3 linked regions of the Drosophila melanogaster genome follow. The protein of the gene in region 1 interacts with the protein of each later gene in a biochemical or structural test. Each region holds a gene or a part of one and is shown on either strand. Other genes may lie near its edges. The genes, in order: Iswi, Chrac-14 and Chrac-16.

What was found.
Region 2: the proteins of Iswi (region 1) and Chrac-14 form a complex in vitro, tested with the Drosophila melanogaster proteins (one study listed by BioGRID).
Region 3: the proteins of Iswi (region 1) and Chrac-16 form a complex in vitro, tested with the Drosophila melanogaster proteins (one study listed by BioGRID).

The regions. Positions count from the first base shown.
Region 1 is NT_033778.4:12,634,828-12,641,395, forward strand, and holds Iswi (imitation SWI), read left to right. Parts: upstream 1-1,843; 5' UTR 1,844-1,954; exon of another isoform or gene 1,955-2,016; 5' UTR 2,017-2,115; coding exon 2,116-2,163; intron 2,164-2,226; coding exon 2,227-2,444; intron 2,445-2,511; coding exon 2,512-2,766; intron 2,767-2,827; coding exon 2,828-4,943; intron 4,944-5,002; coding exon 5,003-5,163; intron 5,164-5,224; coding exon 5,225-5,510; 3' UTR 5,511-5,801; downstream 5,802-6,568. Other genes in the region: Mvk (mevalonate kinase), read right to left, coding at 1-599; CG33672 (uncharacterized protein), read right to left, coding at 997-1,257; CG8785 (uncharacterized protein), read right to left, coding at 6,196-6,568.
Region 2 is NT_033779.5:8,435,491-8,438,536, forward strand, and holds Chrac-14 (chromatin accessibility complex 14kD protein), read left to right. Parts: upstream 1-1,914; 5' UTR 1,915-2,014; coding exon 2,015-2,401; 3' UTR 2,402-2,506; downstream 2,507-3,046. Other genes in the region: D12, read right to left, coding at 1-737, 795-1,685; mus201 (mutagen-sensitive 201), read left to right, coding at 2,886-2,973, 3,037-3,046. UniProt on the Drosophila melanogaster protein: Accessory component of the DNA polymerase epsilon complex. Participates in DNA repair and in chromosomal DNA replication. Histone-like protein which promotes nucleosome sliding of ATP-dependent nucleosome remodeling complexes.
Region 3 is NC_004354.4:12,016,554-12,020,039, reverse strand, and holds Chrac-16 (chromatin accessibility complex 16kD protein), read left to right. Parts: upstream 1-2,078; 5' UTR 2,079-2,166; coding exon 2,167-2,589; 3' UTR 2,590-2,815; downstream 2,816-3,486. Other genes in the region: Lsm12a (LSM12 homolog a), read right to left, coding at 1-33, 99-215, 282-412, 715-859; regucalcin, read right to left, coding at 3,069-3,261, 3,319-3,486. UniProt on the Drosophila melanogaster protein: Histone-like protein which promotes nucleosome sliding of ATP-dependent nucleosome remodeling complexes. Part of the chromatin-accessibility complex (CHRAC) which uses energy/ATP to increase the general accessibility of DNA in chromatin.

The sequences.
Region 1 (6,568 bases):
TGATTAACACGCTCCGATTCATAAGCCCAGGACGAGATCAACGCCTGGTTTGCCTCCGACAAGTAGCTGTCTCTATCAAAGTGTCCGGCCAAAATGAGAAATGTCGTGGCCAAAGCTGCTCCGAAAGAGGCGGAACTGCCCAAACCCGCACCCACGGTTAGCTGGCTGTCTACCTGCACCTGGAAACCGGTTTGCAGCGTCAGTTTCTTGTCGCCGGGTGCGGAGAGTACAGCGCCGGCCAGCAAATAGTATATGGAGATGAATGCCCGCTGGGTGTGCTGCTTCGGTGCATTGCCTCCGGATCGTTCAAGTTGTTTGGACACCTCTGCGCGGACGGCTTCCAACAGATTGGCCGTGCTATCTGATGGGTATTTACTCCTAAATTCAGCCAAAAATCCATTGAACTCCGGCAACTGGATCTCCAGTGTGCAGTTAAGGGCCTCCAGTTGAAAACTTGCCACCTGGCTGTCCTCCAGCTGCCGAAATCTCAGAGTAGTGCCCAAACCCACTACGGCGGCGAGGGCGGGACGATGATAGACCACGGCGTGTTCGCCATGGAGTATGACCTTGCCCGGAGAATGGACCTGGAACTTGAGCATTGTTCTTGATGATCTCCGTGTATTGTGTGTTCTGTATTCCGTTTGGCTATGGCTTTATCGGTTTATCAGCTGTTTCGAATTGTAATGCTAATGCCTTTCGAGTGGACGACCTGCGACAAGTAGTTAAACTTTTATGGCTGTATTTCTTTATGTAACTTATGCATTTAGTGGATCATTTGCGTTGTTTATTCGGTAACTCCTATTTCTGGCTGCCGATTCCTGTGCTTTCCCTTTCACTTTCTTTGTGCGACTGGCGTTTTTCGGCTTGTTCGTCTCTTCGATCGGAAAGCGCAACCATCAGCAAAACGAACAACAGGTTTTTGCGGCTAGTGTTTGCTGTTGTTGTATCGCTCGTGTATATGTATGTGTGTTGTTGGTTTTTTTTTATTCGGTACTACTATTGGGCTTTCACTTTCTCCCACTCTTCGGGTGTGTAGGATTTCTGGGAGAATGCATGGATTTCTTTCAGTTCTTCGGCAAGCGTTGAGTTAACTAATCTATGCTTCTGGAGAAGGGTCTTGCCGCTGAAGGCTGGCGATACGATTACGGCGCTGAACTTGCCGCCACAGCCGTCTGATTCGTCCGTAACACTCACGTACTCCGTCTGCAGTTCCCGTTTGAGCTTCTCCTCGAGGTACTTTGAGTCGTATTTACTCATTTTGGATGGTTTTTTTTTCAAACGAAACGAGGTGATGGAGTGGTTGTGTGACCGTATTGGGCTTCAGGCAAAAACAGGTTTTCCATAAGCCGGGTGGTAGTTTTTCTATCTGCGCTGACCTTGGCCACACCTAGCACCATTTTAAATGTTCTTTTTCGGGGGGTTTCTTGCGATATATCTATTAAATACTTTAATATGGGGGTTGTCTAAGTAATTTAACAGATTTTGTCTTTGTTCATATAGTTTGGGGCAGCCATTCAAGTCTAAAACGATGTAGTACATATTGTCATATTTAGATTCAGTTTCCACCACAGGGCTTATTTCTAAAATATTATGAGACCCCATTAGACTTTTCGATTCCTGCTATATTCCATCATCTCAAACTTAAACATTAGGCAATAATTTTTAAACAAACGCAAACAATTTAAAAAGATAACCTATTTGATTAATCAGAATAACGGCTTTGTCTAAAACTAATAATAACGGCACACGGCCAGTGCTGCCATTCATAGTAATCCATCAAAACTATCGATAGTTCGTATTCTCGATTTGTTTGCCGCCACCGTCGCTGCCGCAGCCAACTTCGCGCATTCATCGCATAATCTAGCGATAGCACGCGCAGATTTCCCACCATTCATTAAAAAAAATCGCATGTAATTATTTACAATTTGTTTAAGCGAAACAAACATTGTTTTGTGTAAATTGCCTTTTATTTATATACTGAAAGTATAACTAACAGGTTGCACACTCGATTTTCAGTTCACATTAAACGACACCAGTGTGCAGCACGCTTGATTGGCGAGGGGAAATTTGTGGAAAAATTAAGTTCATTTAGAGACAGACGCCGGCATTGCAAATATGTCCAAAACAGATACAGCTGCCGTGGAGGCAACCGAAGAGAACTCGGTAAGTTAATATACAGCAGGCTTTGTCTAAGGACTTCTATACATATATTCTGAACTCTGCCAGAACGAGACGACTTCAGATGCGGCCACCAGTTCATCCGGTGAAAAGGAGGCTGAGTTCGACAACAAAATCGAGGCTGATCGCAGTAGGCGCTTTGATTTCCTGCTAAAGCAGACGGAGATATTCACCCACTTCATGACTAACAGCGCTAAGAGTCCCACGAAGCCTAAGGGTAGACCCAAGAAGATCAAAGACAAGGACAAGGAAAAGGATGTGGCCGAGTGAGTTAAACTCCCCCTATAAAAAAGCCAACTACTTTATCTATTGGTGTACTTTTGTATTAAACAGTCATCGTCATCGCAAGACAGAGCAGGAGGAGGATGAGGAGTTGCTGGCGGAAGACTCGGCCACCAAGGAGATCTTTCGCTTCGATGCCTCACCCGCCTACATCAAAAGTGGAGAGATGCGTGACTACCAGATTCGCGGTCTTAACTGGATGATTTCGCTTTACGAAAATGGTATCAATGGAATTCTGGCCGATGAAATGGGTCTAGGAAAGACCCTGCAGACCATATCTCTGCTGGGTTACCTCAAGCATTTCAAGTGAGTTTTCATAAACATCTATTGTTTTAAAGAAATCTCTAAATACCATATTTGCGTGCAGAAATCAAGCTGGACCACACATCGTCATCGTGCCAAAGTCAACGCTTCAGAATTGGGTAAATGAGTTTAAAAAGTGGTGTCCTTCCCTCAGAGCCGTCTGCCTTATTGGTGACCAGGACACCCGTAACACCTTCATTAGAGATGTGCTCATGCCTGGCGAGTGGGACGTTTGCGTGACCTCCTATGAGATGTGTATCCGCGAGAAGTCTGTATTCAAGAAGTTCAACTGGCGCTATTTGGTCATCGACGAGGCGCATCGTATCAAGAACGAGAAGTCGAAGCTGTCGGAGATTCTGCGAGAGTTTAAGACCGCTAATCGTCTACTTATCACGGGTACTCCGCTGCAGAATAACCTCCACGAGCTGTGGGCCCTGCTTAATTTCCTGCTGCCCGATGTGTTTAATTCGTCAGAGGATTTTGACGAATGGTTCAACACGAACACCTGCCTGGGTGACGATGCATTGATTACGCGTTTGCATGCCGTGCTGAAACCTTTCCTGCTCCGTCGTCTAAAGGCCGAAGTGGAGAAGCGTCTGAAGCCGAAGAAGGAGATGAAAATATTTGTGGGTCTATCCAAGATGCAACGCGACTGGTACACCAAGGTGCTGCTTAAGGACATTGATGTAGTGAACGGTGCTGGCAAAGTGGAGAAGATGCGACTGCAGAACATCCTTATGCAGCTCCGCAAGTGCACCAACCACCCATATTTGTTTGATGGCGCCGAGCCCGGTCCGCCATACACCACGGACACGCATTTGGTGTATAACTCCGGAAAGATGGCTATTCTGGACAAGCTGCTGCCCAAGCTCCAAGAGCAGGGATCGCGTGTGTTGATTTTCTCACAAATGACGAGGATGTTGGATATCCTCGAGGACTACTGTCACTGGCGCAACTACAACTATTGCCGCCTGGATGGTCAGACGCCGCACGAAGATCGTAACAGGCAGATTCAGGAATTTAACATGGACAACAGCGCCAAGTTTCTCTTCATGTTGTCCACCCGAGCCGGTGGTTTGGGTATCAATTTGGCTACCGCTGATGTTGTCATCATTTACGACTCGGATTGGAATCCTCAAATGGATTTGCAAGCTATGGATCGTGCTCATCGTATTGGTCAAAAGAAGCAAGTGCGCGTTTTCCGGCTGATCACCGAAAGTACAGTGGAGGAGAAGATCGTGGAGAGAGCAGAGGTCAAGCTCCGTCTGGACAAGATGGTCATCCAGGGGGGCAGATTGGTTGACAACCGCTCCAATCAGTTGAACAAGGATGAAATGCTTAATATAATCCGTTTTGGAGCTAACCAAGTGTTCAGCTCTAAGGAGACAGACATTACCGATGAGGACATCGATGTTATTTTGGAGCGCGGTGAGGCCAAGACGGCCGAGCAAAAGGCAGCACTGGACAGTCTGGGCGAGAGTTCGCTGCGGACGTTCACAATGGACACAAACGGCGAGGCAGGAACTTCTTCCGTATATCAATTCGAGGGTGAGGATTGGCGCGAGAAGCAAAAGCTAAATGCGCTGGGCAACTGGATCGAGCCACCGAAGCGTGAACGCAAAGCCAACTATGCTGTGGATGCCTATTTCCGCGAGGCTCTCCGTGTCTCCGAACCCAAGGCACCGAAGGCTCCCCGCCCACCCAAGCAGCCTATCGTTCAGGACTTTCAGTTCTTCCCACCCCGTCTGTTTGAGCTGCTCGACCAGGAAATCTACTATTTCCGCAAGACTGTTGGTTACAAGGTGCCCAAGAACACGGAACTAGGATCGGATGCCACCAAAGTGCAGCGCGAGGAGCAGCGCAAGATCGATGAGGCAGAGCCGCTTACCGAGGAAGAGATCCAGGAGAAGGAGAATCTACTCTCACAGGGTTTCACTGCCTGGACCAAGCGCGATTTCAACCAGTTCATCAAGGCTAACGAAAAGTACGGTCGGGATGATATTGACAACATTGCCAAGGACGTGGAGGGCAAGACTCCGGAGGAGGTTATCGAGTACAACGCCGTGTTTTGGGAGCGATGCACTGAGTTGCAGGATATTGAGCGAATAATGGGACAGATTGAGCGTGGAGAGGGCAAGATTCAACGGCGATTGTCTATTAAGAAGGCTTTGGATCAAAAGGTAGTTAGCATTGTTTCTGTAGAGTATCTTTAATATATATGAATATATTTTTGTTGTAGATGTCGCGGTATCGCGCCCCCTTCCATCAGTTGCGGCTGCAATATGGTAATAACAAGGGCAAGAATTACACTGAAATAGAGGATCGCTTTCTGGTATGCATGCTTCACAAGTTGGGCTTTGACAAGGAGAATGTCTACGAAGAGCTGCGAGCGGCTATAAGGTGAGCAAAAACTTGGTTTTAAATATGAGTAAACCCCTTATACATTTCCGTTCTCTTACAGAGCTTCTCCGCAATTCCGCTTTGACTGGTTCATCAAATCTAGAACCGCTTTGGAGCTACAGCGTCGCTGCAACACGTTGATTACCCTTATTGAACGTGAAAACATTGAGCTGGAAGAGAAAGAACGCGCCGAGAAAAAGAAAAAGGCACCAAAGGGCAGCGTGTCCGCTGGAAGTGGAAGTGCCAGCTCGAACACTCCAGCACCCGCGCCCCAACCGAAGGCCAGTCAAAAGCGGAAGAGCGAGGTGGTGGCAACCAGTTCCAACTCGAAAAAGAAGAAGAAGTAAAGCGACAAAGCAAACAGATATTTTTCTGAGATTCGGCTCTACACTCAGCACTAGGCAGTTAAATAGTTAAGACAAGCGATTACTTAAACATATTTTACTCTATATAGTTAATAGTTCATATCTCACGCCGGAAGCAATATCACACCAACCCCACCCCCAAAATCTGAAGTTTTTTTAAACACCCGCCTACACATCCGACTACATTACTATTGCGTGCCGCTGTATTCTATTCCAAATAATTGTATTGTGTTCTAAGACTATAATCATTATATTTATATAAATCAACACAGCATACAGATTGTTTCACTTTATATTCAGAGGTGGATTCCCCGTAAGTAAAAGGCGACATATTGAATGTTTTGGTACTGTTCGCTTTATGTTTTGGAATGCTGAGCAACTTAACGTAATAACATATATAAATTCTATGAATTGCTGCTTAGTTTGTGTAACAGGGCACTTAAACTTAATATCATCTTGTTCATGCAGTCAACGGCATCGGCAATTTGGCATCCGAGCCGCTTGACCATGTTCAACATGGCCATAAGTTGGGTCTGATGTGAATGTGGGCTTCGCCTGCTTTTTGAACTCATACTTGTCTTTCATCGCGCTTCCATTGTTGGAGCTACCTGCATCTAGTGTAATACTACGTCTCTGTTTGAAGGTTGAACCCATACATATCGAATCCTTAGTCGTCGTCGCTATACATTTCGATGATCTCGTTGATGCTGGCGACGGCACCAGCAACCAGGGCAAGAATGGAGAACACGCCCAGGAAGATGTTCTTGACCAGCTTCCACTTGCACACGCCCAGGCGGTCGGGCCACAGATAGACGGTCTCCACGAAACTGGGCACAAAGATGCCCAGCAGCGAGAAGAACACGGCACCCACCAGACTGATGAAGGGTTCCAGGTTGGGGATAGCAGCAGCTACACCACCGCTAAGCAGGATAATGCCGCTGCGCAGCAGAATCTGTGTAATATTGTGCTTCTCGGGACTGAACTTGTGACTGATCTTGCGCCAGAGGATCTCGTTGGGCACATAGAACTGCAGGCCAAAG
Region 2 (3,046 bases), on another chromosome or scaffold:
GACGAGGATTCCTTCCACGCTCTCTGCGGAGATGCCGGTGGATAGTGCTTTACTGGCGAAAACTCCTGCCGCTGCCTTTCTGGCAAGGATTCCTGCCTAGGACTTCGGCCGTTTACTGGCAGATAGACCACAGAAGGCTTCGAAGCGGTGACCTGAGCCGCATTTAACCGAAGTTGAGTCCTAGGAGGCGATGACGGAGTGGGTGGCTGCTTTCTTGGACTGTAGTTTAACTTCAGGGGCTCTGAAACCAACACAGTTGGTTCAATTTTCTCAATGTCGTCGCTGAGTTCAATTTTGTTGATACCAGCAAACAGATTGTCATCAAGTTCCTCCTTATTTTGAGTGATTGAAATGGTGCGCGGTTTGCATGACTCTCCAGGAAAGGCGAAAACCGAAGGCTCTAAAACATTCGGAGCAGCCAGAGGTGGAGCAGGAACTGCAGTCTCCTGTTCATGGGGAGGATGAGGTTTGCCGCTTTTCTGTTTCGTTATCGCCTGTTTTGCTCTCAGCCATATTTCCACAGTGGTCTCTGCGCCCATCGTGTGCAGTCCACACATTGTTTTATCCAGCACCACCGTGTGCATTAGTTGCACGGGTTTCTGCTGCAAGTGCTCTTGGAAAAATAGCTGGATGCGCATCGGAAACTCGCCCCAACCATGTCGGTTAAGCTGAAACGGAGACCTGTGCACGTCCACGATGTCGTTTGGGCGGTATGACGGATGGAGGTGGAAGCGCACCTAGAATTGCGAAGAAGAGATTGAATCACTCCGTACGTGCTTATGGGAATTACTTACCTTTTTAATGTATTTTTCAAGTGGTTCAGGTAGATCTTTGCCTTGCACATAGACCAACCACTTATAGGTCAAAGCATTCCCACCTGTGCCATTCTCTCGAGAGTCTTCGCCAATGTATTTGGAAGTATTACCCACCACGAAGTTGAATTTGTTCTTGTTATTCAGCCGCGAGGCATTCAGCTCCACTTGCCTTTCGTGGGCCTGTCGGCTGGTGCACGGCTGCTCGTCCTCCAACTTAACGGAAATGGGAGGTTCCTGCTCTGGCTGATCTTTTTTGTCCTTGGAGTGATCGGTTACGATGCCCTGCTCCTTGATCTTCTGTTGCCGCCTTCGTTCCGCCCGACGATGAGCCGGATTCCTCAGTCGGATGGTTTCTTTGGCCAAGGTGGCCGCCGTGCGCTCTGGCAAATGATTTTGGATGACAACAGGGCGCTTGCCAACGATTTTTTTAATGGCTGGATGCAGTGGCAGCTGCGGAGCGGCTATGTCGTCCCCAAAAAGGCTGTCGCCGCGCACTTTCGCAATATCCGCGCCGGTGAGGGGGACCTGCTGCTTTCGGTAATATTCGCTGACCACCTGATAGCGTAGTCTGTCCAACAGTTGTCGTCCTTGCAGCAGTCGTCGGTCGATCTCGGCCAGCTGCTCGACCTTCTGAGAGATTTCGCGCTGGAACTCCAGACGAAGCAGCTCCCGGATGCGCTGAAATTTGTCGGACAACGGCAGCATGCCATCCGACTGTTCCGTCTTGGTCCACTTTCTTTGACCGGGCGACTCGGCTTCTGCGCAGGTTTCTTCCTCATCCTGGCTAGAAACTTCCGTTTGCTGATAATCTGGATCGTGGTACTCGCTGTGCCTGCGTTTTTTTGGCGGCGTCGCTTGTTGCTGGTCCATGTGCGTGGTAGCTGGCACACGCACAGGACTTGTATCACGTTAGTTCGGAGGGGAACAGCTTCAAGTTTGGCCCGAATCGCTCCGTGCACATTTAGGCCGGGGTAATTGGCTGTTATTTATAAAAATGTGTAAACAATTGATGCGAACGAGGCGGCGCAAACAGAATTGAGTGGGGGAGTTGCCACATCGCTGGTGTAGATGCGTGCACGCTGGCCTTGTCCAACACTGTTCAGCCAGCTGTTTACTCTTTACGCGGGAAGCAAAGACGCCGAAATCTAGACGGAAAATCAAAAGTGCCCACCAAGTAAAAGCAGATAAGCAGCAGCAAAATGGTCGAGCGCATCGAGGATCTTAACCTGCCGAATGCCGTGATTGGCCGGCTCATCAAGGAAGCACTGCCGGAGTCAGCTAGTGTCAGCAAGGAAGCGCGAGCAGCGATCGCCCGAGCGGCATCTGTGTTTGCCATCTTCGTGACATCCTCGTCGACGGCGTTGGCCCACAAGCAGAACCACAAGACCATCACGGCCAAGGATATTCTACAGACCCTCACCGAGCTAGACTTCGAAAGCTTCGTGCCCTCTCTGACGCAGGATCTCGAGGTCTATCGTAAAGTGGTCAAGGAGAAAAAGGAGAGCAAGGCCAGCAAGAAGGATTCCAACACTGCCGAAAATGCCAACGCCAGTGCCACCGCAACAGCAGAGGAAGCCCCCGAGTGATTACGAATAGGAGAAACTATACGGATCAATTATCCTCTTCAGTCATTAAGAACAAAGCTAGTATTGAGCATTAACAAAAAACATTAAACATAGGCATTATCTAAGAACTTCACTTGTGTTTTGTCACTTTCCTCAAAGACTAAATTATGTTGTTAGTCAACGTTTACATGGGATTAATTTGGGATTGTAAGTGACGGTTGGAATTACACCCTTAAATAATGCCGCATTTCAATCCAGTCCGATCTAGTTTTTTACGCCTTCATTCAAAGTATATAAAGGTGTCAGAATAATATTTAAGTATTTCAGTAATTATTTGTTTATATATGTGATCAGAAAATCACTGTTTTAAAAATCATCCAGATAGATAACCGCGTGTTCTTTCCAGCACTGGAAACAGCTGTTTAAAAAAGCGCGTCTTATCGCAACAAAAAGTTTAGTTAGTTATTATTTTGCATGTTTTATACAATTAATATTTTAGTAGAAAATGGGAGTTACGGGCTTGTGGAAGCTCATTGAGCCGTGCGGCAAGCCAGTCCCCGTAGAGACTTTGGAGGGCAAAATCCTAGCAGTGGGTAAGCATCGTTTTTCGCCACCTAATGAAATACTTGCTGATTGGAGTACTTTTCGTCCTGCAGATATATCGAT
Region 3 (3,486 bases), on another chromosome or scaffold:
TATGTTAAGTCCTTGCCAGGAGACTTCATTGTACTACAAAATAGTAAAAGAAATAGCAATGGTTAATGATGATAGGGCATCGTGCAAGAGGTCATTACCCCGTATTGTTTGGCTATCGCTCTATAGAGTTCCTGCGCCTCTGGACTGACATCAGCATTCTTAGACTTCAAGTAGTCCTGTCTTCGCTCAACTGTTTTCCTCAGACGCATTTTGACCTGTATAAGCAATATATATATATATATATATATATTTATGTAAGTGGTCAGAGCTGGCATGCTTACCTGTTCCAGATTAAGCTTTTGCGGATCATCAAAGTTGCCGTTGCACTCCTTGATCACCTGCACGTTGCTGCAGAGCGAGAGGTTCATCGCGTAGATATCACTCAGCTCCTCCGTGGACTTGGATCGGCATTCTATGCGGTTGGAAAGGGAAGAGAAGAGCAGGAACGGGGGGCAAAGATATACGATGTACGGAGAACCAAATTGTCAAGCAGTAAACAATGGGTTTGATAAGAGATAGGTGATATGTGAATGCTATCAGTTAAGATGAGTGTGAATTAGAATTATATACGAATCTAAAGGACAGTGTGACTTTTTGTCCAGACAGCTCAAGAGATCCCTGTGGACAGCCGGAGAAAGTGCTCGCTTTCACCCGGCGGGCAAGTTGTGTGTGTGTGTGGGTATGCATTTCGGGGATTTCGTTGCAAAAGGATACTCAGGATAAGCATCTTTGTGTTGTGATCGAAGGCCAGCACCTCGCCCTCCACCTCCTCGTTGAAACAGGTCGTACAGACGACTGTGGATCCGATGCTGAAGCAGTCGTTCACTGCATTCACTGCGCTCGCAGCGGCAGCGGCCATTTTTAATTGCTGGTTGAGATTGGCCAACTGGAAAAGTGCACCCACAAGCTATGTGGATAGGGGATTCGAATCTAGATCTAAATGTCGATACTGGTTTGTTGGCACGCCGTTGCTTGAACAACGTTTCACAAACAGCGATGGTGATGATGTTGATGATTTTGCGGCAGCAGCAGCTGTTTTGGATGCTTGAATTCCTGGAATTCTCGAAAGGATTTAACTAGCTCTCTCGCTCGCTCTCACTCTCGCCGTCTGTCTGTCTCGTTCTCTCGTGCCGTGCAGCTCACTCGCTTTCACTTGAACCGCTCTAATGGAAATGTCGCTTCCTGGCGATCTGGTCGAGATCCTGCTCCTGCTTCCACTGCCCCTGATCGTCGCGTGAATTGGCCAAAAACTCGCTGGTTACTCGCTCGACTAGCTATCGGCTATCTATTTTGGCGGCAATTGCGGTTCGGTAATTGAAAAGTTGGAAAAGTACGCGAAAAATTTATTGGTCAACACACGAAACAACAGCCAAAAGGGGGCAGCAGAAAACGCAGTGTTGCACATGCCGCGCAGCGATAGGTTCGATAGTCATCGATTACGGAAGTCTGGCAACGTTGCTGCAAACAAATCAAGTGCAATAATAATTTATTGATATTTATTTATATGTGAGTTCGAAAATGAAGACAGATTTTTAAGCTATAAGTGTGAAAATCCAAAGTTGATTGCATACTGAAAAGACAAAAGTAGATAATATTGACTTGTCTAAATGTTGTTGCAATTGAATGTTTCCTTATAAATCGTGCAGATCCTAATCGTTTTACCCCTAATCTCTTGATTAAGTTAAAGGTATTTGCTTAGAGCGGTTTTTCCACTAATAAATTGAAATATTTGGAAAACTTTTATTAAATACTTGTTGTGGCTACCGATAGCATATCGGCGCAACGTTATTTGGTTAAATTCCCGCTCCAGCTAGAGCTGAAAGTATAGGCAAATCCGAATGGGTTTCTCAATTTTTATATATTTAGCGCTATAACTTAATTCTGAGAAAGTAACACATATATTATTGTGCACATCCAATTCCTTGCAAAAATAGAAGTATGCCAGCATTGTTCGTTTTAAGGGAAGCCCTGCGGTTACTTATTTTAAGTCTTCATAAACCATAACCATCGATAGCAAATAAAAAAAAAGAATCGATAGTGTCTCAGAAAGGTACGAATTTCATGCCTCGATTGTAACATCGATAGTTTCACAGCTCCACTTGTGAGCCCAGCTCTAAAACCAAAAAAATTCCCAAGCCATAGTTTGCTTGGGAATTAAGTAAACAAATGGGCGAACCAAGGAGCCAACCACCCGTGGAGCGTCCACCGACCGCGGAAACCTTTCTGCCCCTCAGCCGCGTGCGAACGATCATGAAGAGCTCCATGGACACGGGCTTGATCACCAACGAGGTGCTCTTCCTGATGACCAAGTGCACGGAGCTATTCGTTCGCCATTTGGCGGGCGCGGCATACACGGAGGAATTCGGCCAGCGACCGGGCGAAGCGCTCAAGTACGAGCATCTCTCCCAGGTGGTCAATAAGAACAAGAATCTGGAGTTTCTGCTGCAGATCGTGCCGCAAAAGATCCGTGTACACCAGTTCCAGGAGATGCTGCGGCTAAATCGCTCCGCCGGCAGCGACGACGACGATGACGACGACGATGATGACGATGAAGAAGAGTCCGAATCGGAATCGGAGTCTGATGAATAGACGGTCATGCAGATGTTTATCTACACCGAAATTGAGTGGATGATCTCCATTCACCAAAACATCGACTGATTTTTTACGCCACCTTGCTATCTTTAATTTTAGACTAGACGATAAGTATAAAATTGTTTATAGAACCACTGATTAATAAAGAAGCATAAGAGCACTGCGTCCTCCAAATGACCATAAGATCCGCGGATGATTACCGTGTGTCTGCGGCTGATAAGATTGTTGTTTGAAATCAGAGTAAAGTAGAGCATAGTCAACCTCTTTGTGAGTTTACATGATGATCCTGGATATTCCCAGGAGAGAATGTGATCCTTAAGCTGACCTTGAACTAGAACTGCAAAAAAGGATAACCTAACTAGCATGCAAAACATTGATAGACGCGATTTAAAACGTTAAAGAGCATAACATATAATTGCACTTGGATTCGATTGGTACATTTTACTGCGGCTAAGGATAGATAGAGATTGCAGCTCCTAGACCTTCAGGTTGACGCCGGGATAGCCGGTGGCGTTCAGTCCGGTCACCTTGTAGGTGGTGCCAGCTGGAGCGGGCTGATCGAACTTGGCGGCAGTGGTCACGTACAGGATGTCCAAGTTGGGGCCACCGAAGGCGGCGGAGGTAATCTGTTTGGTTGGGAACTTGATCTCAAGCAGAATCTTGCCAGTGCTGCAATGAAGTACGACATTTAACACTCGATCACGAATGTTAGAGTGAACTACTCACTTGGGATTAACCTTGTAGATGGTGGCGCCATTGAAGGTGGCCACATACAGGTTGCCCTCGGTATCGATGGTCAGGCCATCGGGCAGCAGATGATCCTTGGGACTATTCTTGCGCAGATTGAATATAACCTTGGGATTGCTAGCCACGCCGGTCTCGAAATCATAGTCA